Linked DNA regions of Anolis sagrei. The protein of the gene in region 1 binds, or shares a complex with, the protein of each later gene. Links are inferred from orthologs where the notes say so. Each region holds a gene or a part of one and is shown in the gene's direction. Other genes may lie near its edges. The genes, in order: MAD2L1BP and MAD2L1.

Evidence for each region.
Region 2: the proteins of MAD2L1BP (region 1) and MAD2L1 are in contact, whole or in part, in a crystal structure (PDB 2QYF), measured with the Homo sapiens proteins. The link is inferred for Anolis sagrei from reciprocal best matches to the Homo sapiens genes MAD2L1BP and MAD2L1. Residues at the interface, in NP_055443.1 of Homo sapiens: Pro61, His79, Tyr82, Gln83, Gln85, Pro88, Leu89, Pro90, Gln93, His96, Ala185, Leu187, Arg188, Phe191, Arg192, Phe195, Asp198, Ala199, Phe200, Ser201, Glu202, Leu203, Gln204, Ala205; in NP_002349.1 of Homo sapiens: Tyr33, Arg45, Thr52, Leu54, Lys122, Asp126, Glu127, Arg129, Ser130, Arg133, Gln134, Thr136, Ala137, Thr138, Thr140, Phe141, Leu142, Leu144, Glu179, Val181, Arg182, Leu183, Arg184, Tyr199, Asp205.

The regions. Positions count from the first base shown.
Region 1 is NC_090021.1:49,650,673-49,666,479, reverse strand, and holds MAD2L1BP (MAD2L1-binding protein), read left to right. Parts: upstream 1-7,983; 5' UTR 7,984-8,041; coding exon 8,042-8,072; intron 8,073-8,170; coding exon 8,171-8,439; intron 8,440-9,133; coding exon 9,134-9,676; 3' UTR 9,677-11,405; downstream 11,406-15,807. Other genes in the region: GTPBP2 (GTP-binding protein 2), read right to left, coding at 1,120-1,314; epoxide hydrolase 1-like, read right to left, coding at 11,613-11,814, 13,366-13,491, 13,963-14,071. UniProt on the Homo sapiens protein: May function to silence the spindle checkpoint and allow mitosis to proceed through anaphase by binding MAD2L1 after it has become dissociated from the MAD2L1-CDC20 complex.
Region 2 is NC_090025.1:35,714,943-35,730,123, reverse strand, and holds the start of MAD2L1 (mitotic spindle assembly checkpoint protein MAD2A), read left to right. Parts: upstream 1-6,995; 5' UTR 6,996-7,176; coding exon 7,177-7,249; intron 7,250-11,149; coding exon 11,150-11,296; intron 11,297-14,359; coding exon 14,360-14,480; intron 14,481-14,940; coding exon 14,941-15,044; intron 15,045-15,181. UniProt on the Homo sapiens protein: Component of the spindle-assembly checkpoint that prevents the onset of anaphase until all chromosomes are properly aligned at the metaphase plate.

The DNA.
Region 1 (15,807 bases):
TTCTGCCTTGATATTCTGGGATATAGGGCCCTGGGTTTTCCTTACATTTGGGCAATGGATCTCAGAGATAAAACATTAGCACAGCTTGGGAATTAAGGGGGAACTTCATTAGAATCATAGAATTATAGAGTTGGAAGAGACCTCATGGGCCATCCAGTCCAACCCCCGGCCAAGAAGCAGGAAAATTTCATTCAAAGCACCCCCGACAAATGGCCATCCAGCTTCTGTTTAAAAGCTTCCAAAGAAGGAGCCTCCACCACACTCTGGGGCAGAGAGTTCCACTGCTGAACGGCTCTCACAGTCAGGAAGTTCTTCCTAATGCTGAGATAGAATCTCCTTTCTTGTAGTTTGAAGTTTCTCCTAAGTGTTTTAAGGGACTGTAACTGTCAGTCCCTGGGTGCATCTACACCTGGCAGGTATAGAGTGTGCATCCCACTTTAAATCTATGGCTGCCTAGCAGATTCTTAGGTTCTCATTACACTAGTGTAGGCCTGGGCAAACTTTGGCCCTCTAGGTGTTTTGGACTCCAACTCCCACCATTCCTAACAGCCTCCGGCCCCTTCCTTTTCCCCTTCAGCCGCTTATGCGGCTGAGGGGGAAAAGGAAAGGACCGGAGGCTGTTAGGAATGGTGGGAGTAGGAGTCCAAAACACCTAGAGGGCCAAAGTTTGCCCAGGCCTGATCTACACTGTGGAATTTAGCACACTTTGAGGCTTTAACAGACATGACTCAAGGATGTAGAATCATGGGAGTTGTAGTTTAACAAGGCCTTTAGCCTTCTCTGTCAAAGATTCCTTCCAAGGAGGTTTGCCATTGCCTTCCTCTGAGGCTGAGAGAGTGTTGACTTGCTTAAAGTCATGGCCTGGCTCAAACTTGAATCTACACTGAGAATTAAACGCAGTTTGATATCTCTTTAGACTCCAGGGCCTCAATGTTGTGCAATATTGGGAAGTGTTGCATTTTGGTGAGGCACAGAAGGCTAAAGATAGATATAAACAAAACACTCCCAGGATTCAATAGTCTGTGTGGTGCATTGGGAGGTTAAAGTGGTGTCAAACTGCGTTAGTTCCACAGTGGAGATGCAAAGTGGAGATGAACAGCGGGTGGGTTTTCTCCTCACCTCAGGCGGCAGGTAGGGCGGGTTGTTGGCCTTCCCCCCGCGGTGCCTCCCGTTCTTCTTCCTGCCCTTGGAAGAGGAGCCCCCGCTGCTGGAGCCGGCTCCGGAGCGGCCTCGCAGAGCCCCCCCGCCGCTTCCGCCTCCTCCTCCTCCTGGCCGGCAGCAGCCGCCGAAGAGCTCCGACACCCGCGAGTCCATCCCTGGCGGCGCCTCCTCCTCCTCCTCCTGCCTCCCTTCCCCGGCTGAGCTCCTGCTCCTGCCAGCGCCGCACTTGGCTTCTGAGGGCTCGCTCTCTCAGGCTCTCCTCCTGGCGTCAGAAAGAGGAGCGCGAGGCATCACGGGAAGACAGGCCTCTGCAGCCGCTCCCTCGAACTACCACTCCCAGCCTCCTCTGCGCCCTGTCACTCTTTCGCAGAGCCCACACAGACACATCGGCCAGGCACCCTCAAACAGTGGTTCTCAACCTGTGGGTCCCCAGGTGTTTTGGCCTACAACTCCCAGAAATCCCGCCGTTTATCTCCACTGTGGAACTAACGCAGTTTGACACTACTTTAAACCCCTAATGCGGCACACACTGTTGAACTGAATCCTGGGAATGTTTTGTTTATATCTATCTTCAGTCTTCTGTGCAAAAGTGCCTCACCAAAGAGCAACACCTCCCAGGATTGCACCGTAATGAGATCTACAGAGATCTACAGAGACACTCCCGGGAACACCTCAGCAAGCGAGAGTCCAAAAGTGGCAGGCTCAAACCCAGAACCTCAACCAATGGCTGATACCAAATGAGAGACTCTCCTCTGGGCACACAGAAAACTGGGCAACTTGGAAGGCGCTGAACAGACTGCTCTCTGGCACCACGAGATGCAGAGCCAACCTCAAGAAATGGGGCTACAAAGTGGAATCCTCGACATGCGAGTGTGGAGAGGAACAAACCACTGACCACCTGCTGCAATGCAACCTGAGCCCTGCCACATGCACAATGGAGGACCTTCTTGCAGCAACACCAGAAGCACTCCAAGTGGCCAGATACTGGTCAAAGGGCATTTAATCAACTACCAAACTCACACATTTTGTATTTTGTCTGTTTGTTTGCTTCGTTCTGTTAGAAATGTAATATAATTGACTGGTTGCCCTAACACAACAAATAACAAGTAAAATACTGTAATGAGGCCGTGGAGTTTAAAGAGCATCCAAATCCCTGCATATTTCCAATTTCCTATTCCTGGACTGCAACTCCAACCAATTCTCCAGATAGATAGATTAGATAGAGATAAGTAGGTAGGTAGATAGATGGATAAGGAGGACTGCTGGGAGTTGTAGTCCAAGAATAGGTAGAGAAGGAAGAAAGGGGGAAAAGAGGAAGGGAAAGAAAAGGTGGGAGGGGATGGAAGGGGATAAGGAAGGAGAGAAAGAAAGAAAAAAGGGAAGGAAGGAAAGAGAGAGGAAAGGAAGTAGAGAAAGAAAAAAGAGAAAAGGAGGGAAGGTAAACCATAGCAACGTGTGGCGGGTACAGCTAGTAATAAATAATAATAAACTTGATTTATATCCCATCACCATTTCCCCAAAGGGGACTCGGGGCGGCTAACATGAAGCCAAGCCCAAAATTACAGTACAGCAAAATAAAATACAAGAAGCAAAACTACCATCAAAATAAATACATGAAATAACAAAATAAAATAAACAGTTTCAAAATAACATGATAGAGAAATAGAATACAGTGGTCAGGCCAAATGTACTAGGAATAAAATTGATAAAACCCTGGATGAGTTATGTAGAATGTGTTTCTGAGGGAGAATGGGTTTCTAAGGGAGGAACACAAAAGGACTGTGTTTAATTCTCCAGTGTAGATTCAAATCTGAACCAGGCCATGACTTCAAGCAAGTCACACGCTCTCAGCCTCAGAGGAAGGCAATGGCAAACCTCTTCAGAATATTTGACAGAGAAGGCCAAAGGCCTTGTTAAACTACAACTCCCATGATTCCATAGCCTTGAGTCCTGGCAGTTAAAGTGTCAAGGTGTGCTAAATTCTACAGTGTAGATCAGGCATGGGCAATCTTTGGTCCTTCAGATGTTTTGGACTCCAACTCCCTTTCTTTTCCCTCTCAGCAACTTAAGCTTAAGCGGCTGAGGGGGAAAATGAAAGGGCCGGAGGCTCTTAGGAACTGTGGGAGTTGGAGTTCTAAACACCTGGAGGGTCAAAGTTTGCCCAGGCCTACTCCAGCTGTTTAAAAAAGACTGCTATAGATCGGATCATGCAAAAGAGATGCACTGAGTTTTTATTTTATTGCAATATATGTATGTATATACACATATCATATACAATATAACATTGAAAAGTCACTGTTTACAATGATGTTACCCCATCCAACTTCCCTCCTTTCCCTAAGTCACAGATGTTTATATACTGCTAGTCCTCTAACAAGTGAATTATTCTTTATTCTATTATCTAGTTTTCTTAATAATACAGATATCTTGTTTGCCAGTGGTTCTCAACCTGGGGTCCCCAGATGTTTCTGGCCTACAACTCCCAGAAATCCTAACAGCTGGTAAACTAGCTAGGATTTCTGGGAGTTGTAGGCCAAAAACATCTGGGGACTCCAGGTTGAGAACCACTAGCCATTTAACCAAAACCTTGCTTCACCTGATCTCTGATAGACCTCAGACTATGACTTTGGATGTGGATTTGCTCTTGGATTGGTTAGCTTTTAATTAAATGTTTTAATTTATTGTTTAGTCAATGCTTTAATTGTGATTTTATTGCTATTGTTTTTGTGGCATCTAATGAGTGCCGATTGTAACCCGCTCTGAGTCCCCCTTCGGGATGAGAAAGGCAGAATATAAATGTCTGAAATAAATAAAATAAATAATTCACCTGAGGGTGGTTTGAATTTGCTGTTGCTTTGGCACATACAGTTGATAAATGGTTTCCATATGGCCTCAAACAAAATCTCTTTCATTTCTCCTGATCTTACTTTCTAGGTTGGTTTCTCAGATAAGAGCTATAGCCCATACAGGCAGTTCCCAAGTTACAAACAAGTTAGGTTCTGTAGGTTTGTTCTTAAGTTACATCTGTTTTTAAGTCAGAACAGAGTCTGACTTAAGTCTAGCTACACACACACACACAGATTTCTCTCACTTCTTGTTGTCTCAACCCTGTTCTTAACTATGAGTAATTTCTAAATTGGATGTTTGCAACTCATGGACCGTCTGTATTCCATTTATTCAGTTCTGCATTGGTACGTTTTCTTATTTTTCCATACTTTTACTGTTTCCATCCATGCTGCACAAACTAGAACTTCTATGAGGCCTTTGTTCTATAGGTTCTGATTTTTGTCCTCAAATAGAGAAGTAGCAATGCATCTCTATAATGGACCTTTCCTCCTGCTGTACAGCTTCTCCAGGTTAAGTCTGCTTGCTAAAATTTAAAATATGCGTGGACATAAGAACTCAATAGTCTCTTCTGCATAATTTTGATACTCTCCTGTTGATCCCGTGACATTTGAGTGGATAGCAATGCCATTTACCAACAGTTTTCAATGTGTTCTATCTAATTTGAGCTGATTTATAAGGTAACTTGGCAACTCAAAAAGAATGAGAGTTACTTGGGGGGAAAAACAGACAAAACAAATGGAACTCAGTTGGGGAAGATTTGCCTTACAAATGTATTGAGATTTTCTGAGCTCACTGCTAAGTGGGCGGATGTTTACAAACAGAGTCACATCCTGGTACTTCCTTCAAGCACTCCCTTTGTACTTGGTTACTGTCGATGTCAACTCATTGCATCAGTTGGAAGAGATTGCTCTGTTTAGTGCCTTCATTGCATCAGGTCAAGGCAGGAGGGTGAGGCAGCATGTGCTCTGAAAAAACAATACCTTTGCTCCCTGACTTCTCCTATGAAGCTTACTGCTATACAAGTTCATCAGCTCAGGTCAAGTTCAATTATCATCAGTGGCAAACAATATGGTACTTCCAAAATAATAAAAGAGGGATACAAATGACCCTAATTTCCACAAAACTGGGACGTTGCTTTATTTGTAAAAAGTCAAAATATTCATTATAAAAAGGGAGGGCAGGGGAGTGAGTGAATCAGTATATTACACTAGGTAACACGATTTTTGTTCCTGGGTTATAAACGTCATTTCCTAATTGGCTCTATCATAAAAACATGGAAAAGGTTTCTTGAACTGCAAAACTTTGCTTTTGCGGGCAACCTGCAGCACTTTTTGCTATAGTTTTGGTTTTATTTTGATGTAATACGTTGTCCGGGCTTGGCCCCATGTAAGCCGCTCCGAGTCCCCATTGGGGAGATGGTGGCGGGATATAAATAAATATTATTATTATTATTATTATTAGTCTCAAGCCCTTGGTCCAACAGTTAGGATTTGGCCTTGTACCCATCCATTCCCCAGTTCTCTGGCATTTAAGGGCACATTTTTTCCAGCCCAGAGCTTTTTTTATAATCCTTTAATTGGCCCTGGAATTGAATGGCACCGGTCCCCTAGTAGGGCCACTGCTGAGACCAATCCTTGCACTATAGTATTCAGCCAGCCCCATTTTTCCCTCCTCCTTGGCCCAGCCCGTTCCAAATAGTCCAGGCCCCTTATTGAAATCTTTGCCCCTGGCAGCTTACCTTGCCTGAAGAGAGTGGTTTAAAATTGACTGTAATTTATATGTCGTGTTAACAGTTTGTGCCTATGTTTTTGTTTTATATTGTATGTTTTTTATTATTTTGCATATGTGGAAACCGCTCTGAGTCCCCTAGGGGAGATAGGGTGGTATACAAATAAAGGTTTTTTAAATTATATTATTATAATGTATTTTTCTACTGACATACCCAGAAGTATTTTTTTTTCTGACCGCCGGAAGAACTGGCACAGCTTTGGGGAGCGAGGCCCCTAGGGGTCGGTCTATCTATCACAGTCAGGCATGGGCCAACTTGGGCCTTCTCTCCAGGTGTTTTGGACTTCAACTCCCACAATTCCTACCATAAGCATGTGGACAATTTCAAGAGAAAGGAGGAAACCATGAAAATGAAAAAAAATCTGGCTACCAGTATCAAAAAACCTCTAAAATTACAACTGCAAAACAGCAGAGAGGAAACAATCAGGGACATCTAATCACCTCTCAACAAAAGATTGTCCCAGGCACTGCCAGGCCACCAAATGCTAATCAAGGTGGTCAGTTGAAACATTCACACCTAGCTCCAACAGACAAGAGTTCTTTGCCCCACCCTGGTCATTCCACAGATATATAAACCCACTAGCTGTTCCCTGCCACGCGTTGCTGTGGCCCAGTCTGGTGATCTGGAAAAGAAAGTAATGAGAAAGTGTTGGTTTCTAATATATGTAATTCCTTTATGCTTGTGAGTAAACAGTATTTCTTGTTGTTTCTTTGTCAGTGTTGATGTGGAGAGTGTCTGGTTTGCCCACCCTGGAACATGCAACATATCATAGTCCTTCTTTAAGGGTCCTCTCTTTCAAATCTATGATACTATATCTGTGTGTGTGTGTGTGTGTGAGAATCATATCTATCTATCTATATATATTTATGACTAGATGGCTCTTTGTCAGGAGGGCTCTGATTACATTTTCTTGCCCTGGTGAAGAGAGTTGGACTGGATGGCCTTAAGTATTTTCTGATGGTCATGGGGGTTCTGTGTGAGAAGTTTGCCCCATTTCTGTTGTTTGTGGGTTTCAGAATGTGCTTTAATTGTAGGTGAACTATAAATCCCAGTAAGTACAAATCCCAAATGTCAAGGTCTATTTCCTCCAAACACCATCTGTGTTCATATTTAGGCATATGGAATTTTTGTGTCAAGTTTGGTCCAGATCCATAATTGTTTGAGTCCACAGTGCTCTCTGGATGTAGGTGAACTACAACTCCCAAACTCAAGGTCAATGCCCACCAAACCCTACCAGTGTGTTCTGTTGGTCATGGAAGTCCTGTATGCCATGTTTGGTTGAATTCCATCATTGGTGGAGTTCAGAATGCCCTTTGATTGTAGGTGAACTATAAATCCCAGTAAGTACAAATCCCAAATGTCAAGCCCTATTTCCCTTAAACTCCATCTGTGTTCATATTTGGGCATATGGAATATTCATGCCAAGTTTGGTCCAGATCCATCATTGTTTGAGTCCACAGTGCTCTCTGGATGTGGGTGAATTATAATTCTCAAACTCAAGGTCAATGTCCACCAAACCTTTCCAGTTTTTTCTGTTGGTCATGGGAGCCCTGTGTGCTAAGTTTGGCTCAATTCCATCATTAGTGGAGTTCAGAATGCTCTTTGATTGTAGGTAAACTATAAATCCCAGCAACAACTCCCAAATGACAAAATCAATTTTTTTTGAGTGGAGGACATACATTCGACTGTTAGGTGTCTTGTGTCCAAATTTGGTGTCAATTCCCCCAGTGGTTTTTGAGTTCTGATGGTAGCATGAACTAACATTACATTTTTATTTATATAGATTTTCCTAGTTCCAACAGACCTCACTACCTCTGAGGATGCTTGCCATAAATGCAGGCGAAACGTCAGGAGAGAATGCCTCTAGAACATGGCCATATAGCTCGAAAAACCCTACAACCCAATTCCTACCAGCCTCAGGCCCTTTCCTTTTCCCCCTCAGACGCTTAAGCGGATAAAAATGGTGGGAGTTGAAGTCCTAAACAGCTGGAGAAAAGGCCCAAGTTTTGTCGAAGGCTTTCATGACCAGAATCACTGGATTGTTGTATAACAACCCAGGCCCAAGTCTGCCCATGCCTGATCTATCGCGACATCCTGGCACGCCTATGGACAGCTAGCCATTTCTGCCCTCAGCCAAGATGGCGCCGCGAGACTCCCATTTCCCGGAAGTGATGTCATCTTACCGCTCCCAGGATGCTCGCTGAGGCGGCCATTCAAATCGGATAATAACCCGAGGGGAAGAAAATGGCGGCGGAGGGAGCGACGCAGGGCACAGGTAAGGCTTCGTGGTGCGCGTTTTTGTCTCTTTGGGGCGAGGCCTCTTGGGGAGAGTGAGGCAGCCGCCCTGGCTGGTTTCCTCTTTGTCTCCCGCAGAAGGCGGGCTCGGCGGCGGAGCGGAAGGGCGCGAGGGCCCCGGCGTGGCGGTGGCTGTCTCCTCGGGGCCTGCCTCTCTCAGCGGCGGCGGCGGCGGCGCGGCCTTGGCGGTCTCCGTGGCTTTCCCCGGCTCGGTGACGCAGGAGGGCTGCTTCCGGTTCACCTGCGAGCTTCTCAAGCACGTCCTGTACCAGCGGCAGCAGCTGCCCTTGCCTTACGAGCAGCTCGCCTTCTTCTACCGGAGGCAACCGCCCAGGACCCCCGGACAGGTAAATAGGGTGAGATGGGCGGCCTCAAAGCAGCCTTCAAGCTCTTAAAATAACGCTTCTCAACCTGGGGGTCGGGACTCCTTGGAGGGGGGGGGGTCACGAGGGGGTGTCAGAGGAGTCGCCAAAGACCATCAGAAAACCTGAGAGTTCTCCGTGGGAAGTTTGGCCCAATTCTATCATTGGTGGGGTTCAGAATGCTCTGATTGTAGGTGAACTATAAATCCCAGCAACTACGACTCCCAAATGTCAAGGTCTGTTTCCCCCAAACCCCACCAGTTTTCACATTTGGACATATTGAATATTTGTTCCAAGTGAGGAGTTATATTAAGGGATTGCAGCATTACGAAGGTTGAGAAACACTGTCTTAAAAGCAGGCACGGGCCAACTTGGGCCCTCCAGGTGTTTTGGACTTCAACTCCCCACAATTCCTAACAATGGCTTGTTGTGGGAAAAAAATGGCTTGTTGTGGAAACAAGGATTGAAGATTTCAGTGAAGACACCTTTTCCCCATAACTTTTTCAAGTGTGAATTTCCCTTCCAATGAATAAATTTCTCTGACTTCCTGTTGTCTCACCCCTGTTCTTAACTCTGAGTCATTTGTAAGCCAGATGTCTATAACTTGGGAACTGCCTGTATTGCTGTTTTTTGTGCTTTAAAATATTCACAACTTTTTCCAATCTCCTTAACTTTATAGGATGAAGAAGTGGTGAGAAAAGTCCACTTAAAAGATAAAGACAGCAGCCAAAAGTGCCAGCAAGTGCTAAGTGATCTTGAGGGAGTGTTCAAGCACTTGGAAACCATGTTTACTTTGACACTGGTCCCTCGCGTTCTGATTCTTCTCGGGGGTACTTCTGTCAGCCCTAAAGAACTCTATGAGATCAACCTGCAAGGGGTGTCTGTTAAGGGTGCTGAGGACAGTCTGCAGACAGCTGCCTGCATTCGCAAGCTTTTCCATTCTCTGTTCCTAGCAGATGTGTTCAGCGAGCTGCAGACAGGCCCTACTATGGGTGTCACTGTGATGGTTCAAGGGCACCGCAATTGCGGTGTCGACTGGTTCAGACCCAAACTAAACTACAAAGTGCCAACGCGAGGGAGGAAGCTGACTGTGAATGTATCATGCAATCATCACAACAGTACAGGTCTTTCTGCCTATCAGGAGATGAACTCGGCTTGGGACGATTACATATGGTTTCAAGCTCCAGTGACAGTCAAGGGCTTTCGTTTCTTTTCTTCATAAAAAAAATAAAGGGAATTTTTTTACTATTGTCTTTTTGATCCACTATAACCAAACCTTTCCCTTTTCCTATAACCAAACTTTTCCATAACAGTTGTATTCCCACTCTGTTGTATTTTTACATTTATGGGAATAGCTTTTGGGGAACTGATTCAAAGGGTCAAAACAATGCCTTAATGAGTCACCAACTTTCCTCTACTGTGGACTTTATTTCCAACATATACTTGACATAATTGAACCACTGCATAAGTGTCTTATAATATACTCCCAGTGAACTGTGTTCATTGGTAAATAATTGTGCAATGTTAGCAAATGCTCAATAATGGTGTGAGAAGAAGGTGAATCCCATCTTACTAACTTTTTTTGTGTGTGTTGATGATGGTGGATTGATCTGTTATAAGGAATATAGCCATAGTCCCAAGCAACATAGTGTCTCTCCATGAATTGATAACAACTTCTAAAAAAGTAGTCTCCTAAGTACAACAATTGCAGTGATGATTTCTAGGTGCTTTTTCTGAGAAATAACTCCTCTGAGTATTGTTATAAAAGATGAGAGTGGAGAACTTCAGCAAATAGATAATGATGAGTAAAACTGAGATTCATTCTTTGCTTTCTGAAGGACATTTGCTCAGCTATGTTAAGAACTGCAATGTCTAGTGTGTGTGTGTATGTGTGTTAGTAAAAAAGATGGCTTGGAGTTTCCCATTTTTTCAACATCTTCATGTAGCAGCTTTAACCCTCTGACCAAGTAGTTTTGTCTGTGTGCATCAGATACTCCTACACGCTAGACGTTGTGCACAGCCCGTGCTATAGCTTTAGTTTAAGTTGATAAAGTAAAATACCTCATTTGATGCTTTGACTAAAACTAAACTAGACTTTGGAATGAAATGAATGTCATCAAATAATCAATTTTAAAACTGCTGTCCCACATAACAGCTGATCCACTTCATTCATGTTAAGAAAGTAGTATGTATGGGGCTACTTCTATGGAACTACTAAGGGAAGGTAGTATTTTGTTCCAGACAATGGTTATCTATTTATTTTATCCACTGTTAAGAGGCTGTATGGCTTTATTGTCCAGTTAAGGACAAATTCAGTTAACTATGGGAAATGTGGCTTCCCACACTGCTTTTAAAATTGGAATTTGTTTTTTGGTCAGGGGGAAAAATCAACCTACAATCTCTCTTTGTGGAAAGGAGGATGTTTTCAGGCTAAAATAGAGGCCTATGGGGCACAGAAAAGTTTATTATACTCTAGTTTACAATACGTTTTTGGGATATGAGCTATTTGAACAACACTGGAACCACTACCTTCATAGGCAAATTCCAGAGAAGAGTGTTTAATCTGGTATGTTTTAAGGACTGCCTGGCTCCTAATGACATTTTGCATTGTACTTGAAAAACCTGGGAGAGGTTAAACAAACATGCTTATTCTAAAACATGAAAGTGCAGAAGGTATTGTATCAGCCATTTGAAAACAGGTTAAGATCTCTGTCCTTGCACAGAGGAAAGAGAATAGGGAAAGCTCTGACAATTTACAGAAAGTTGCCTGCAGAGTAGAGCCCAGCCCTCTGACACTTCAAGTAGCCTTTAAAATTACAGTGTACATTCTATAATTGTGTATAAAATGGTGCTATGTAAGATATGTGATTAAATGTGCTGCTCCAATGAATTGGTTAATGACATTGTCCTTTTACAGATCTGTAATATGAAATAAATTACAGCAAGAAAGATTTACTTGTTATAAGAACCAATTTAATATGACTACTGCCCTCTTTTTTTAAAAAAAACTTAGATGCTTACAGTAGTTTCTCACAATAGAATAAATGACCGTTGAAAGCTCAAGCAGTAATGTAATCATACTATTTTACTTAACGTGCCAAAGGGTTTTTGCACTTGGATTACAGCTCTCTTTGCCATGCTTATGCCTTGCTGTTACCTCACAGACGTTCCACTTTCCGAATAAATTGCTTGAAGTCCTGAGCCAAGAGCTGTGGCTCCTCCAAGGCAGGGAAGTGACCACCCCGTGGCATGTAGGAGTAGGTAACGAGGTTTTTAAACTTCCTCCTTACCCAGGAAGGCGGAGCATGTAAAAGTTCATCAGGGAAGGCAGTAACACCAGTGGGAACATAAACTCCAGTCCTGTTATAAAAGAAACCATTATCAAGGGTCGACTTGGCCATAGCAAAACTGATGTACATTTTTCTACCGTAAGCCACATTACCATTGGGAAATTGCATTCTTTTTGTCTGGCATATCTATGACTTCTGTTTTTATTGCCCATAAGTACACAAATGTTAAACAGGCCCAACTGTATTGTATTTACCATTGAAACAATCTGTGTCCCTCTGGGAAGATAGGGCAGAATACAGATAAAGTCATTTTATTTATTTATTATTATCCTTTCAAATTAAAATGGCACCCATGTTAGCTAGAATTAGAATGTTTATACTTAGGAACACAGATGGATAGCAAGAGTTGAGGGTTAATCAAGCTTCATAGGGATAATGAGCTTGATCTGTATTAGAAAAGATGCTACCATGGAACTTACATCTTTACTGTCAAAAATCTAAATGGTTTGTCATATTTGGAAATCAGCAAGTGCTTTCTAAACTCCTACAAAGGATTTAATATAGCCAATGGGATTTTGACTTCATTTCAGAAACTTTGGACAAATATCCCAATAATAGTTGGGAAGGCATTCTGCTTATATTGTGGCAAAAAATTAGATACAGGCAGTCCCTGAGTTATAAACAACTCATAGTTTAGAACGGAGGCAAGACAACAGAATTGTGAGAAATTACCCCTCGGAAGGGAAATTCACACTGGAAAGAGCATGGGGAAAATTATTTATTTAGGGCTTTTATATCCTGTCCTATCTCAACCTCTGAAGAGGGACTCAGGACGGCTAACAAATCGGCACCCCATGGCACCCACATCAGTAAAACATAAATATATACTTTAACAGTAGTATAATAATAACAATATAAAACAGTACAAAACATAAAACAGTAAAAAAAACAAGCAGTCAGCGGTTACCGGTTTGAATCAACATCCAAGAGGCTTTCAGTCAGTTCTATATAAGTCGTCACGTCAGCCAGTCAGGCTAATCTACAAAAGCCTCCCCAGTGAAGCTTTCCCATCAATCCTTGTTTCCACAACAAGCCATTTTTTTCCAAAATCCAGTTATCACAGGGACAGAAAGTGCATTTAAACCTTCTAAAAAGGGGCAGAGATAGCAAAACATACCACCGGGGGGGGGGGGGGTGGGGTGTGACCCTTCCTTATGCTGCTCAAAGTTTAAAAATATATATTTTTGGCTGGAGTTACACTTAAAAAATTACCTGATCTGACTTACAAACAAATTCAACTTAAGAACAAACCCACATAACCTATCTTTATAATTTGGAGACTGTATTGCTGTCAGGTTAACTTGTGCTTTAGCCAGTGCTATGTACTGTATGCTGCACGACCTTTTCTGCTACACTTATGCTTATGCTATCCTATTAGCAGCTTGTCTAAGAAATCTATGCAGACTACAGAGTGAAAGCCATATTGGCCTTAGGCAGCAAAAATGACTTAGGTGAGCCCCACAAACAGTAAACATAAAAAAAACCTCATATCATGTGGTATGTAGAGTATCTTGGAGAGACAGGATTTATCTTGTAGCAGTTTTTGTTTATTTTTCCTTACCTGCCACTGGGAGTACTGCTTGGATTCTGGGAAAAATTCTCCTTGTAAAAGCGCATGGATGTCACAATGGAGCCTGTCACCCAGTAAATCATGACATTGGTCAATAAGTCATCCAGCGAGTATTTCCTGAATAAGAGAATTACAAGAAGACTTTTGCTTAGCTTTGGTACTTGCCTACAAAACATGGAACGTAAGTTCAGGGCACTGTAATTTTATATTGCTATGTTTTCACATGTTTTATGTAATTATGTTGTTGTTTAATGTTTGCATTTTCAGTTTTATTTTATTGTAATTTGTTGTTTGGGCTTGGCCTCATGTAAGCCACTCCGAGTCCCCATTGGGGAGATAGTGGTGGGGTATAAATAATAATAATTATTATTATAGTAATTATTATTATTATTATTATTATTATTATTAAAAGGTGCTAGAATGTGTTCAGCAGTGCAGCAGCATATAATTAAAGCACTGAATTAAAACTCAATTGTGTTCCTATTTGAGATGGAAGTTTGCCAAATTATTTGTCCTGCTCCTCTTTTACGTTAGTATTTGCAATGTGTCCCCAGTCTCCTAAGATATACATGTCATAAAAATCCTTACCTCTCCAAACCACCATCATCCAAGTTTGGAAATGATTTATCTGTCCATGTAGAGAACTTTTCTAGGATGTATGCAGCAAGTCCCACAGGACAGTTATTCAATCCACATCCTAGGTCAGAAAAGCAGCTCATTAGTTTTAAAAATAAAGATATGTACTGCTTCAGGCTAAAATTTGGAACAAGGAAGAATCTGGTTCGTAGGTCTGAGGAAGAGTTAGGGCTTTGATTTCAGACAATTTCACAACTCCCCTCCTGGATATCATCACTTCAGAGTCTCAGTTCTTACAAGAATCCAATGACCTGGGCAAAAGGATCATCTAAGAAAACTCACTGTAGGAATTGTTGATTTTTTCCCCCTGATGGTGGCTGTCCATCTGTGTCCACACACTCTTTTTTCCTTTAGAATCACATATTCAAGATAATAGATTGCCTAATTGAGGAGTTATATATTTTCTACTATCTTTGGAAGTGTGAGAAATAAGTCTTTATATGTTATCTTGATTCACTAAAGCACAAACTAGTAATGCAATCATTAGAACATAAATAGTGTCATTTCAATTTTATACGGCTATCTGCTGATTGAAAAACACTTGATTATTCATGTGTTTTAAGTTATTAACAGCATGGAATAGAATCAATAATTTTGAAGGAAAAACAACAGCTGCCTTAGATGAGGTCCTTGGTTTACACCCAGCATTCTGTTTCTTATGGTGTTCGATCACCAGATGCTACGACATGCACATGAAGTGATGAGAGCAAAGCTCCTCTTATTATTTTTAAGACAGTGGCATTCAGAAGCATGAGGTCCCTGATTCAGGAGGCAGTATATAGATAATCACAGACTATAGCAATTGATAGCCAGAGGTGACCTTGGGTAATTTTCAATAGTAAGCAAACAGTATTTTGGTGCCCCTCCCCCCCAACCAATCACTGATATATATTTTCTATTCGTCATGGGAGTTCTGTGTGCCATATTTGGTTCAATTCCATCATTGGTGGAGTTCGGAATGCTCTTTGATTTTAGGTGACTACAACTTGCATATGTTAAGGTCTATTTTCTCCCAGAAACTACAACTTGCACATGTTAAGGTCTATTTTCCCCCAAGAGCTCCTCAAGAACGCCCCTGGGCAAAATCAACTATACTGCAAATGCTTACTTTGCGTAATGGGTTGAGCCGCTTTACCTACTATTAAATTTTCTTACCATCACCTAGCCCAGGCATGGGCAAACTTGTGACCATAGGAATTGTGGGAGTTGAAGTCCAAAACACCCGGAGGGCCCAAGTTTGCCCATGCCTGACATAGCCTATTGAACTGTTTCATATCTTGCACCACTTCCAACAGAATGCTAATATATTTTGAAAGAATACAACTATTTTAGCTCTAGTGTTTAATTTGATTTGCCTCTATCATGTATTTCCTTTCAAATATGAGTTGCTTTTCTCCCCAAACTGAAAAAAAATTCCAAAATGTAATGTTTCCTAATATGAGAATTGCTTCAGTGTTATGGATGTATTAGTTACCCTAATCTGCACCTTTCCTATAACTCTCCTGAGAGATGTTACCCAGAATGGTACAAGACATTTCAAATGTGATCAGACACACATTTTGGAGATTTTTTTAAAAATCCCTCCCTCAAAAATCTCAAGAAGGAGATCTCCCCTTTTTACAGCTGTTACCCATTGAGTTAACATCTTAACTGAACTTTCTCCACAACTTCCATCGCCAATTTTCTTCTCCACTACTGCCAACTAAGTCCATACATGTGAAGTCTGAATGGCAATGACTCAAAGTGTTTTACTTTATTCTTGGAGCTGTATTTACCCTCTTAATATAAGTTTGCACA
Region 2 (15,181 bases), on another chromosome or scaffold:
AAGGACTAAGGCAGTGACATCTCCGGCCCATCACCACTTCAAATACCAACCAGCACGCCAACGCCTTAAATCAAGAAATAGTTTTCTAAGATCTACAGAGACACTTGCAGGAACACCTCAGCAAGCGAGAGTCCAAAGGTGGCAGGCTAAACCCTGAAACTTCAATCCATGGGTAATACTAAATGAGAGGCTCCCTCCTGGGCACACAGAAGACTGAGCGATTTGGAAGGCACTGAACAGACTGCGCTCTGGACCACGAGATGCAGAGCCAACCTTAAGAAATGGGGACACAAAGTGGAGTCCACAACATGTAAGTGTGGAGAAGAGCAAACCACAGACCACCTCTTACAATGCAGTCTGAGCCCTGCCACATGCACAATGGAGGACTTTCATATAGCAACACCAGAGGTACTCCAAGTGTCCAGCTTCTGGTCAAAGGACATTTAATAGAATGCCAAGTTTTCAAACTTTGTGGTTTTGTTGCTGTTGTTTGCTTTTAATACATTACAACGGTATCCTTGGTTTCCTCCTGACATCTATATAAATGTAATGTTTGTTTGTGGAATTAACATAACTCAAAAACCACTGGACGAACTGACACCAAATTTGGACATAACACACCTATCAGGACAAGTGACCATCACTCATAAAAACGCTGAAAAATACAGCACAAGAGACTTTAAAAGCCAACTCCCCCAAAATACATTTCAAAGGGTGCGCAAAATCATACATATACACAAACACATATATACACATATATACAAATATACGCATATATACACATCCAAAACACATATACACAGAGTGGGCCACAGCAACGTGTGGCAGGGGATGGCTAGTGATAAATAAATAAATATATAGATAAATATAGTCACAGCTCTGGAATAAAAACTATCTTTTCCGCCTATTTGTCCTTGTTTTTATCATACTACATTGTCTGCCAGATGGTAATAATTCCAAACAATATATTCTTGTGATGAGAAACTCCTCAATTCAGACAAGGTAAACAAAGAAAAAAGAATTGAAGTATTCCAGACTTGAGTCCAATCCCAGGAAATCAAGATTCTTGAGCCAAAATCTAGTAAGAACATTTATGGGACATTAAAGTCCATATGAGAAAAGAAAAGAAAAGAAAAGAAAAGAAAAGAAAAGAAAAGAAAAGAAAAGAAAAGAAAAGAAAAGATTCACTCTTGGGGGTGTGAAGATTGATATTCCATAAATCAAAGAGAAAGGTCAGCTTTCAACTAATTTATTAGCAAGAAACAAGATTGGAAGCAAATACATGAAAGTAATCCAAGACCAAGTATTTTATAGGAAAACATACTTAAGAGACCTAAGCCACTAGAAGTTAGCTTACTATTTCAAAAAAAATAACTGGAATCTAGATATGACAGAAAAAAAAACATGAATTATGTTATATTTCCAAAGGTGAACTCTAAAACAATCTTAACGTTAAATTGTCTTAGTGCAACTGACAAATATTTAAGATAGCGTTGTTGTTGGTGCTCATACGGCTGTCTAAATACAATCTGTCTAGTTCAGCTTCCTTTAAAATGTCTGGTACACAAAATATTTGTGCTCATATCATAAGTTGACATGCTGAACTCTACACTGCAATCTGCTTTTCATTTGAAAAGAGTGGCAACAGTTAATTACAAAGCACAGCTTCTGTGACTCAACCATTTTGCATTTAAAGGTGCTTGATCTTTTCCAGAGAAGGAGCATAAAATTTATTTAATTTAACCAACACATATTTGGTTAAAATACTATCAAAAGAGTGACTGGAATCCCTCTGTGTCAGCTGGAAAAGTCACTTTGAAGAAGGTGTTTATTAGGAACATTTTCCATGGTCACAACAGGTGGCTCGAAATGTCTGGGTAAAATCAGCTGCTGCTTATTAGAGAGTAGACACTCCCAACAGGGCAAAACATCAATAAATAGTAGGGATGCCAGGATTTGGAACCGATTTTACATGTTGCGTGCAATTAAATAAAGTACTAAGCTAATTTCTACATGGAACTAATTTTTGTCATATGACATGCAATCCTTACATTTCAACTACTAAGTAATCATAAATATACAGTAGAGTCTCGCTTATCCAACATAAATTCCCGGCAGAAGGTTGGATAAGCGAAAATGTTGTATAATAAGGCAGGATTAAGGAAAAGCCTATTAAACATCAAATTATGTTATGATTTTACAAATTAAGTACCAAATCATTATGTCTTACAACAAATAGACAGAAAAAGCAGTTCTATATACGGTAACGTTATGTAGTCATTACTATATTTACAAATTTAGCACCAAAACATTGCAAAGTATTGAAACATTTGTGGATCTGGATGGGAGGCAGATTGCGTTGGATAATATAGAACGTTGGATGAGCAAAGGTTGGATAAGCGAGACTCTACTGTATAGTTTAAAAGGGATGGAACAGGAAAGTATCTTGACTTCAAATATCCCTTCATAATAATTTTTGGCTGCTCATTTTATAAAAGATAATATAATAACATGTTGGTCAGCAGAAACATGGCCGACTTCCTTTGTTTCAATAGTATAGAATGGAAGACAGACTGACTTATTAATAAAATATTTGAAATATATGCATACAATCTGTTAATCTTGAACTTCAGATTAATGATGACATAAAGAAGAAACCAAAGGAAAAGTGCAAGGAAAACAAAGTTGTTCTGAAGGGGATGTAGTTTTATAATATTTTAAATTGCACTATAGGACTGTAGGTTCCATCTGTAGAGTGTAAATAGACTGAAATATAGCTTTGAAAAAGAGCTGCCACTGCAGCTTAGGGAGTAGCCTTCGTGCCTACCCTCCCTATTCTTTCACACAGCATTCTTGTAAGCAAAAGATAAGCCAGTGCCTGCCAAGCACTTCCCAGCGAGTCAGGGTCACTTGAAAGAGATGTGAACTTTCCAGTTAATTCTAGTTTCTGTTGTTTTCCACCTGTCTGCTTGCTTAGGAATAAAGAGCCAATCCGAAATGTATTAGGCAAGCTTAGACCAATCAAACAGACAATATGTTGACATCAATCAAAATGCACTTTTTGGATTTCTGTAAAACAATAAAAGATTGCGATCCCAATCTTTTGGGGCGCGGTAGTCTTTTCATGTGTAGAGCACAACTGCCGCCATTTGCACGGTCGGCAAATAAAGCTAATCTTCAGAGAGATTCAATTTGTTGTTGTGTCCTTCCATGCCACCCTTCCAAGACAGAAGGGGACTTCTGGGAATGTGCAGAGTGCATGCCCCTTCAATTCCATAAATCCTTTACACTACATTTCAGTATACAGGATGGCTGTTCTATGTAAAATAGGGGTGAATAAACATCTGCAGGGTATAAAATACCCTTTGATGCAAGGCTGAATTGGACGAAGCAAATAACATGCATTTGATAACATTGTTATTTTATTGAAATGAAAACAAATTCACTTGGGTTTTTTTTAAAATAAAAAACTTTTCTCAAGACCTTATTTGAATATTCAAAAACATAACTCATTGTCCTTGTCAAAAAGATGAAATCCTTTCACTTTTATTAAGAAAAAATAAAAGTGGTGAGGAAGAAGACAAAGTGGATGTGGATAAAACACTGATTTTTTTTTTCTACTAGGAAAAAGAGATAAAATTGTTGGCAAACAGGTCAAATAAGCAAAGCAATTTATTGTAAACAGAAATCAAATGTGTTTGTGTGTGAACAATTTATACTAACATTTATCTAGTGCCAAAAGCGACAAACACAGCTGCAGAATATTTGCCCCATGAATTGATAAAAAAGTTAATGTGATCAAAGATGTACATTATTTGCATGCATTGAACATGACAGCCAGGAACTTTTTTTTTCCTTTTGTGATGCAGAAGGATCTGGGCCATTGCAATGAGTGAGGCTGTCCTTTGACTGTCCATGCTGTTTTGTTTGTTTTTTTTCACTTTTCAGGACAACACTGAGAGAATCAAGCACTTTTAGTTAAACACTACCATCTTGTGGTAATTCTAGTGAAAAACCTAAATCTATTCTAGAAATGGCAAAACGAATTCAGTAATGCTCTGGACCTTCACATTCTTATGTTCCAAAACTTGTTCTCAACTAATCCAGTCATAATTTACAAGAGGAAGGAGTCTAAATTATGTTTACATTTTATCACCATAAATTATTACTACCTGCTCAAACTATTGGCATTTGAAAACCTGGTAAAGATGCCTCCAATGCCAAGAACTACCGACCAATCACTCTCATGTGACATTGGTATAAAATATATGAGGGTATGCTATTAAATCAACTAGGCCCTGTTATTGAACCCCAGCTTATTGCACAACAAGCAGGTTTCAGACTAGGGAAAAACTGTACAGCTCAAATTCTTAACTTGACCTAGTATATCAGGGAAGGCTATGAGAAAGATTGTATTACGGGAATAGTTTTTGTGGACCTTATGGCAGCCTATGACATGGTGTAATATAGGAAATTGCTGCATAAAGTCTACCATATCACCTGGGATTACGATTTTATAAAAACTATCCAGACCCTCCTAGAAAACCTCAGCTTCTATATGGAGTCTTAGGGCAGGAAAGGTAGATGGAGAAGGCAAAATAATGATCTACTTCAAGGCAGTGTTCTTGCACATACGCTGTTTAACATTTATACTAATGATTAGCCACAACCACAACTCACAAAGAGCTTTATATACACTGATGACCTTGGCCTAACAACACAAGCAAAGGACTTTGAAACAGTAGAAAACCAACTTACTAATGCCCTGAAAAATCTCTCAGGTGGTTGTCTTTGAAGTATTACACCTGCCAAGACCCAAGTGTGTGCTTTCCACCAACATAATGGTGAAGGCAACAGGAAACTGAAGGTTACCTGGGAAGGCCAAGAACTTGAACACTGTTCCCACCCTAAATATCTCGGCGTTACCTTGGATCAAACACTAACATTTAGGAAACACTGTGCGAACACCAAGCACAAAGTATCTGCACACAATAACATCCTGTCGAAACTTACTAATAGTGCATGGGGTGCAGACCCAAAATTAATAAGAACATCAGCCCTGGCCTTGTCTTACTCAACTGCTGAGTATGCCTGCCTTGTTTGGCACAAGTCTGCCTACATGAAGCAAGTGACTATAGCACTGAATGAGACATGTAGAATAATCACAGGATGTCCCAAATGTACACCTGTTGATAGACTCTATAAGCTATCTGGCATTACCCCCCCCCCCCCAATGTGCAATGGCTGTTGCTAATTACGAGAGAAATAAGGTTGAACACTGAAAACCATGCACTGTATGTTTATTAGTCTCCTCCCTGTAGACTTAAATCAAGGGAAAGTTTCATGAGAACCAACACTCCTCTTAATGCTCCCCAAGAAACAGCAAGAATATCCCTTTGGGCATCTAAACATTAAATCATCTGGGTGTCCCCTGGGCAACGTCCTTGCAGACAGCCAATTCTCTCACACCAGAAGCGACTTGCAGTTTCTCAGGTCGCTCCTGACACGACCAAATCTAAACCAGGAAATCCCAACCGGATGCCCCACCCCCCATGAGGGTCCTCCTCCAGGGGCAAACCAAGAATGAGCAACTTGGAAGTCCCTGAAAAGACTCAGAAGCGGAGTTGGTAGATCAAAAGACAACCTGGGAAAATGGCACTACCTATTAGCATATAGATGCGGAGTTTACTTTGTGTGACTGTGGAGCAGAACAAACAACTCCACATCTAGATGCTTGCCCACGATGTCCTGCCTCATACATAGCAGAAGAACTAGTTAAAGCTACAGACAATGCAGTCTGTTGCCAGTTTTTGGTCTAAAATTATCTAGCTGTTTGTGCTCTTTTTATTTTATCAGTTTTATACTTATTTGTTTATGCAATGCTTTTGACACAAAATAAATAAAACCTGCTCAGACTGTGGAAGAAAAATGAACACATTGTTTACTTTTCTGTCAACCAAAGTCCCACTTCATCAAATTTGTAATGGCATATATCTGATCAAACAAATGTCAGTAGATCCAGTGAAATAAATGGGATTCACAATGGGTTTTCTCTGATTGTAAATAACACAAAGGGGGGAGGAGGACTGTGAACGGTAGACCCAAATTGCACTGTTGTTTCATATTGCAGCTAGCTAATATTGATTGTGCAGATGTGGGCAAACTTGGGCCCTCCAGGTGTTTTGGACTTCAACTCCCACAATTCCTAACAGCCGTCAGGAGAAAAATTGCCTCCAGAACATGGCCATATAGCCCGGAAAAACCTACAACAACCCATGGATTCCGGCCATGAAAGCCTTCCACAATACAGCCGGTAGGCTGTTAGGAATTGTGGAAGTTGAAGTCCAAAACACCTGGAGGGCCCAAGTTTGCCCATGCCTGCTCTAATATATAGTTTCAAGTCACAATCACAACTATAAAAAGGGCCAGCATTAAGGAAAACAATGAGTCCTGAATAAGTACAAAAGTAAATAAACACCTGGTTGCATCAGCTTAGCTAATGGAAATAATTAGAATCAGGTGCATGAACATTTAGATAAATGGGGAAGTTTGTTGGGTGGCATCTCAAAAGGACATTTAATCAACTACCAAACTCACAAATTTTGTATTTTGTCTGTTTGTTTGCTTTGTTGTGTTAGAAATGCAATATAATTTGGCTGGTTGTCCTGACATGACAAATAAATAAAATCTCAAAAGGATCAAAACTTTGGTCATTCTTTCTTTATGTTTCTGTTTGTAAGAGAACTAATTTGGGATTGGCAGATTCCTTAGATATCTTAACTTTACTAATCCTGGAATTCCATATAGCTGGCTGTTAAAAGCAATATTTTAAGTCTTACATCAATTGGGTGGGAAACCGCGGGAAAACTTCATTGAGAAAGCCGCGCATGCGCACATAATAAGAGCTAAAGGCGGCTCAAATGAAATAGAACGTCTCTGTCGTCTTCCTCCGTTTGCGCCTGCGCAGTGAGTCGCCGGCGTCAAGTCTTGCGTCTTGGGACCACGTGACGATGCAGGGGCGGGGCTTTGGATTTTGAAAAGCGTGGCGGGAAGGCCTCTAAAGCTACTGTCTCGTGTTTTGGAAGGGGCGAATTTCCAAGGCTTTGGGGGAGGCCTTCTTCCGGTGGTTTCTCGTTTGGATCCTGACCCTGCTGGCCCTTTTCCTTCCTGCCCGCCATGGCGAAGCAGCAGAGCCGGGAGCAAGGCATCACCCTGCGGGGCAGCGCGGAAATCGTGGCCGAGTTCTTTTGTGAGTCGATTACAAGACTGTGGGGGCGGTTTGACACTATAGTAATTGCTATGGCCGGGTGCTATTGAATTATGGGAGGTGTAGCTTTACAAGGCCTATAGTTCTTTCTGCCAAAGAGTGGTGGTGCCTCAACAAACTACATATCCCACAATTCTGTAGCATTGAGCCATAGCCGTTAAAGTGGATTCGAACTGTATTAATTCAAGTGTAGATCAGGGATGGGCAAACTTGGGCCCTCCAGGTGTTTTGGACTTCAACTCCCACAATTCCTAACAGCCTCAGGCCCTTTCCTTTTCAGGGTGAAAAGGAAAGGGCCTGAGGCTGTTAGAAATTGTGGGAGTTGAAGTCCAAAACACCTGGAGGGCCCAAGTTTGCCCATGCCTGGTGTAGATTGTAAATAGGCCAGGCTGAAGCTGAACTGAGGCCTATTCAGCTGAAACTTTAAAGCAGCCAATGTGTTTCCTGATTCTGTTTGTCTTTCTTCCCTTTCTCTGTCTCCTTTGATATTAAGAAGTATGATAGATAAGGAAAACATGGGAAGAACTCTCTCCAGGGAAGTCTCCTTTGCAATATAAATAGAAATGCCTCCTTAAGAATGTCTAATATTGTGCTATGCTAATAATATATATTGTATATACATATAATATTGATGATAACATTATAATGTAATACAATATTATACTAATAATACTATGATATAATAATTGTGTATTATATATTACAAGTAATATTACTAATATTGCAGTATAGTGGTATAGTACAATATAGTAATATATAATACTAATATTGTGCTATGCTAATATAACATATTGTATGTACATGTAACATTGATCATAATATTGTAATACAATATAATACTAATAATATTGCAGTATAGTGGTATGGTACAATATAGTAATATATAATACTAACATTGTGCTATGCTAATATAATATATTGTATGTACATGTAACATTGATCATAATATTGTAATATAATATAATACTAATAATATTGCAGTATAGTGGTATAGTACAATATAGTAATATATATAATACTAACATTGTGCTATGCTAATATAATGTATGTATGTATAAAATTGATTATAATATTGTTATACAATATAATGCAATATAATAATTATATATTACATGTAATATTACTAATAATATTGCACTGTAGTGGTATAGTACAATATAGTAATATATAATACTAATATTGTGCTATGCTAATAATATAATATACTGTATGTACATGTAACATTGATTATAATATTGTTATACAATATAATGCAATATAATAATTGTATATTGTATATTACATGTAATATTACTAATAATAGTGGTATAGTACAATATAGTAATATATAATACTAATATTGTGCTGTGCTAATAATATAATATACTGTATGTAGATATAACATTGATCATAATATTGTAATACAATATAACACTAATAATACAATATAATATAATAATTATATATCACATGTATTGTTACTAATAATATTGCAGTATAGTGGCATAGTACAATATAGTAATATATAATATTAATATTGTGCCATGCTAATAATATAATCTATTGTATGTACATATAATATTGATCATGATATTGTAATACAATGTAATTCTAATAATAATGCAACATAATTGTATATTATATATTACATGTAATTACTAATAATATTGCAGTTTAGTGGTATATAATACTAATATTGTGCTCAGCTAATATAATATATTATATGTACATATAACATTGATCATAATACTGTAATACAATATAATACTACTAATAATGCAATATTATAATATAATCATATATAATACTGATATTGTGCCATGCTAATAATATAATCTATTGTATGTACATATAATATTGGTCATAATATTGTGATACAATATAATAATACTAATAATAATACAATATAATATAATGATTATATATTGTATGTAATATTACTAATAATATTGCAGTATAGTAGTATAGTACAATATAGTAATATATAATACTTATGTTGTGCTATTCTAATAATATAATATATTGTATGTACATATAACTTGTAAGCTGTTCTGAGTCCCCTTTGGGGTGAGAAGGGCAGGATATAAATGTCGTAAATAAATAAATGTCTTTTAGTATTTGCACATTTATAATAATGATAATATTAAAAAAAACTTTGCTTCAAGATCTACCTCCTTCCCGAAGGGACTCAGGGTGGTTTACAGACACAAAGCAAAAGGCAAACATTCAATGCCCCAAATGAATACAAACACATCAAAATAATACAAGATAAGGCACAGAAACAGCAGCAAACTAAGAGCAAAGAAGTAAGTTGCTCTGAGTCCCCTTCGGGGTGAGAAAGGCTGAAATTAACATAAAGCAATCCAATAAGACACAGTAAACTAAAACATGAGTAAGACATTTCAGTATATACCCTAAAAGCAATTATGACTTCAACTCCCACAATTCCTAACAGCCTTGAAGTCCAAAATACCTGGAGGGCTGAAGTTTGCCTATGCCTGTGTTAGACCTTCTCAACCTAAAAACAAGTCTAGTTGAAATCTGGGGTTTCTGTTACATAGATTATTATTATGTTTATTTATACCCTGCTTTATCTCCCCAAGGAACTCAAAACAGCTTGACATAAAAGCATCAGCATAGCCATTTGAAATATACAAATATACGAACATTAAAGCAGGATTAAATATAAATAGTATTAAAGCATTCCCAATTAAAACAAATCAAAGTTAGATCTCTGTTGGCTTCCACTGTAAATTCATATTAACCCTGCCGTGTCTTTACATTGCTGTCTTCTCCCAGAGTGAGTGTTAGATTTTAATCTTTTGAGTAATAAGAGTTGGCAAAGGCAGTACAGCTTTCTGGGGTTCAGGGCATATTCTTAGAGAAAATACATCTCGTATAGACTAGTTACATCTGTTGGTTTCATCTCGTAATGCACTGTATGTGGGGCTGCTTTTCAAGACTTTTTGGAAGCTTCAACTAGTCTAATGTGTGGTAGCCATATTGCTAACAGGAGTGGCGTACAGAGAGCACACAATCCTCCTGTTATGCCAGCTCCATTGGCTGCCAGCTTGCTACCGAGCACAATTCAAAGCGCTGGCTTTGGTCTATAAAGCCCTTAACGGCCTTGGCCCAGTTTACCTGTCTGAACGCATCTCCCTCTATGAACCATTGCAGAGGCTAAGATCTTCTGGTGAGGCCCTGCTCTCAGTCCCACCACCTTCGCAGGCACGGCTGGTGGAGACAAGAAAGAGGGTCTTCTCAGTGGTGGCCCCTCGGCTGTGGAATTAGATCGGCTTCCCACCTGTCATTTTGCAAACAAATTAAAACTCGGCTTTAGGAGCATAATTACTTGTGCAATATAACTGGAATTGGTTTTGGATTGATGAATATGACTATCTTCATGAATATATGCACAATAGTTGTCTAATGTGTGCATATGTTGCTTTAATGTTGTTTTTAATCGTCGTTTAATTGTTTTTAACTGTTATTCGGGCATGGAATAGTGCCCCTTATGTAAGCCGCCCTGAGTCCCCTTCAGGGTGAGAAGAGTGGGATATAAATATATGCAAGTTAATAAATAAATATTTTAAGTCAAATCTGTGAATAATCAAATGAACAAAAATCTAAACCACAAACATGGAGAGATGAATATATACAACACAGCTAGCCCTCCATAGCCATGGGTTCAATCATCCTAAAAATATTCCCTCCCTCCAAAAAAATAAACAATTCCTAAAAGCAAACCTTGATTTTGCCATGTTATATATGAGATATCTTTTACTACACTATTGTGTATGCCAATATTGCCTTGCCATTTGGAAATACTTAATGGGAAAGAAAAAGAGCATGATGAAGTATTGATTCTTGAATTGTAATAACATGCACTTTTTTTTCTTTCAGCATATGGCATCAATAGTATTTTATACCAACGTGGGATCTATCCTGCTGAAACCTTCACACATGTTCAGAAATATGGGCTCACTATGCTTGTAACAGCAGACTCTGAACTTAAAAACTACTTGAATAACGTCGTGGGGCAATTAAAAGGTACTAGCAGTTGTAATATTGTTATTAAAGGGTGATATACAGTTTTCTGGGTGCCATAAGGTTGCCAAATGCTCCTTACAGGCTTAAGAGAGGTAAAATAAAAGTGGGGGAACAAAAGAACATGTTTATTCGGGCATGAATCCTGGTATCAAATTCCTCTTTTTTCTTTTGCGCCCATGACCTCTATCACTTAGTCACTGCTGCTTCTTTGTCTGCACTTGAATAACTATGCCAGTGGCCAGTTACAAATGGACTTGTAACTTTTTCAGACATGGATTCATGTTTGGTTTGAACTGTCTATGTAGCTTGGTTTAGCCACAACATTTCATTTCATTCTCATTCTAGTTGCAATTCAAATGCCAAAAATACATTGCATCAATATGTTGAATTGCAAATGTTGTTGTTATGGGATGGTGGTGTTAGGTATGTGGGGTTTGTCTCCAAAAGGTACCAAATCCAAACAAAAAAAAATGAAAAATTAGTTTATCCACAATGTTGGATATGAGTATAATATTAAAACTATCAAAATGTGTCAAATCACTCCTATTTGGGTTTGGAAAACTGCATTTTATAGCTCAAAATGGTTGTTATTATCCCTGTAAAATTTGTCCAGATGGATTTGGTACCTTTTGGAAACAAGCTGTATGTGAAGAACCATCCTATGAACCATTTTGGAGTCTAAGATTGCAGGCAAGATTGGCGGGGACGAGAGACAGGGCCTTCTCAATGGTGGCCCCCTGGCTGTGGAATTCCCTCTCCAGGGACATCAGATCAGCCCCTTCCCTCCTGAGCTTCTGTAAGAAAGAAGAAACCTGGCTTTGTGACCAAACTTTTGGAGAACTTGAGAAATAGACAGATATGGAATTGATGTGCACTGACTACCTGAAATGGCCGGATTACATTTAAGGATCATGTGATTGACTCCTAATGTTTTATATGTTTTTAAACTGTTTTAATGTATTTTATAACTATTTAAATATCTGTAATTGTACATATCCTATGGCTTCGTGTGGTTGCCTTCATGTAAGCTGCCTTGAGTCCTCTCCTGGGTAGAGAAAAGCGGGATAGAAATGCCGTAAATAAATAAGAAAGGCTACCCGATACTTTGAGAACTGGATTCAGCCCCAGAAATAAATGGATAAGATTTCCTAGTGTGTGGTTTGAAACCTGCCTACAGTGTGAATATGTAGGGAAAGTTGGTATATGTTATAGACATGCAACCCATTTCTTACTATGTATTTTTGGCAAAACTAAATTTGGTTGCTTTTATCTCCCTTTATCAACCATCTCAGAGATTAAGATCACCTGAGGAGGCCCTGCTCGGTCCTGCCTGCGTTGCAAGTGCAATTCTTGGGGATGAGAGATAGGGCCTTCTCAGTGGTGGCCCTTTTGTTGTGGAACTCCTCAGTGATATAAGATCAGCCCCCTCCCTCCTGAACATGGCTCAGGGACCAAGCCTTTGGCCAATAATGCATTGCAATAAGTAAAAATGGAAATTGTGCAATAATGACTGAAATGGCTTTTTAAGTATGATTCTGGATTGCATGGTTTTAAAAATGTGTTTTAATGTTTATATGACTTTTTAAATTTATGTTTTTAATATACTGGTACTTGTTTACTTGCATACTTGGTATGACACCGAATTGTTGCCTTTTGGAAGGCTACTTTGTGTCCCCTTTGGGGTGAGAAGAGCAGGATATAAATACAATGAATAAATGAATTATTTCTTGTGTAATAGAATACAAAAGTGAAGGCTTTCTTGGGAGTTACAATTTAGCTTTAGACAAGCAATTCCTCACTGCCAAATTGTTTCATAATTTGACAAGAGAGGGAAATACCTGTGATATTTTTTCAGTAGAAAGAAAATGGTGTCTCTGTCTTCCTATTAGTGTACTAGAGAATGTTGAGGTTTTTTGAAGAATCCCAGTGAATGTAAGGAAATATTATTCTCCATTGCCAACAGTGTTAGAAGACAGGAAGATTTAAATACTCACCCTTCCCTTGTGGGAAGCAGCACCAATGAGCTGCTCTTTCCACTTCTAAAAGGTAAACACAACTCTGTTTTCAGAGTTCTCTGCACATATGAGAATAAGTAGAAAACATACTCAGAAATATAGTTAATGAACCAATCCAAAATTGTAGCTACCTGGTGCAAGGGTCAGAGTATTCCTGGTAATTTAATGCAAATGTTAATTTTATTATTTATTTATTTATTTCTAACATTTTTGCCCCACCCTTCTCAACCCCTAGGGGGACTCAGGGCGGCTTCCAATTGGCAACAATTCGATGCCGCATAATAAAATACAAACAGCAATTATAACAGTTAAAAGCATAAACATTAAGACATAAAGATTAAAACAGTATACTTACAGTCCATTGGGCTATTAACACAATGTGGTAGCAAAATACACATCAAGGCTGCTGCTGAGAACCCCAGATCACTCTGAGAGAACAGAAGCTGTCTATTTGCTTACAATTTAAACTATGTAAGCAAAGGGAATCTTTTAATTTCATCTTTATTTACTGTATGTCTTTTTTGGTAAAGAAAATTATACTTAAAGGCATAATGTACATTATGTAAATGGAAAATAGCATGTAAGACAGTTTAGAAAGTTAATTACAATTTATTTTAATAGACTTCTAAAATTAGTTCTCTAGAGTGTGGTGGAGGCTCCTTCTTTGGAAGCTTTTAAGCAGAGGCTGGATGGCCATTTGTCAGGGGTGATTTGAATGCAATATTCCTGCTTCTTGGCAGGGGGTTGGACTGGATGGCCCATGAGGTCTCTTCCAACTCTTTGATTCTATGATTCTATGATTCTATGAATTGTGTGCCTTCAAGTCACCTGTTGACTTATGGTGATACGTATCATGAATTTCTTAGGGTTTACTTTAGTGAGAAATACTCAAGAGGTGGTTTACCATTGTCTCCTTGTGTGAAATAAACCTTACAGCACCTGCAGTCCCCCACTAGTCTTCCACCCATGTACTAACCAGCCCTCTCTCTGCTTGGCTTCTGAAATCGGATGGAATTCGGAACTAAAAGCTAATTTCCTTCTTTTTCAGAATGGCTCTATGAGTGCCTGGTTCAGCGGCTAGTAGTGGTGATTTCTAGTAAGGAAACCAGTGAAGTTCTTGAAAGGTGGCAGTTTGATATTGAATGTGACAAAAGCTCAAAGGATGAAAAGTAAGTATCATCACACTTTGTTGCAGGCAACATAAAATGTTGGCACTTGTCTGACGGTTTATGACTTCTAGGCACATTGCCACTATTATGTATTTGCTCCAGAAGTTATAGTTTATCGAACCTGTGAAGTCAGTGAACAATTTATATATCGCATTGTTGAAGCTTTCATGGCCGGAATCACTGTGTTGCTGTGAGTTTTCTGGGCTGTCTGGCCATGTTCCAGAAGCATTCTCTCCCATTGTTTCTCTGAAGATGCCTGCCATAGATGTGGGTAAAATGTTAGGAGCCTGGAAAACTAACAGAAACCCAATTTATATAACAATACACATGCTATGTGCACATCTGTCCAACCTTCAAATATGTTTCTGGAAAGACAAGTGTATTTAGCAACATGTGCTGTCATAATATAGTGTTTCAGCCATTTATTGTGTCCAAATCTTCTATTTTGTTGCATTTTCAGTGTCCCAAGGCAGAAATCTCAGAAAGCTATACAGGATGAAATAAAATCTGTTATTAGGCAAATAACAGCTACGGTGACATTTCTTCCATTGTTAGAAACTACTTGTAAGTATTACAACTTGTTATTAACTGAACACAGCAAATGGCTGTCAGGGTAACTTTAGTATAACCAATAAAACAAATACAGTTTATTTTAATATTTACAACCTGACTTGCTTTTAAAAAAAATCCTTCAGTAGAGA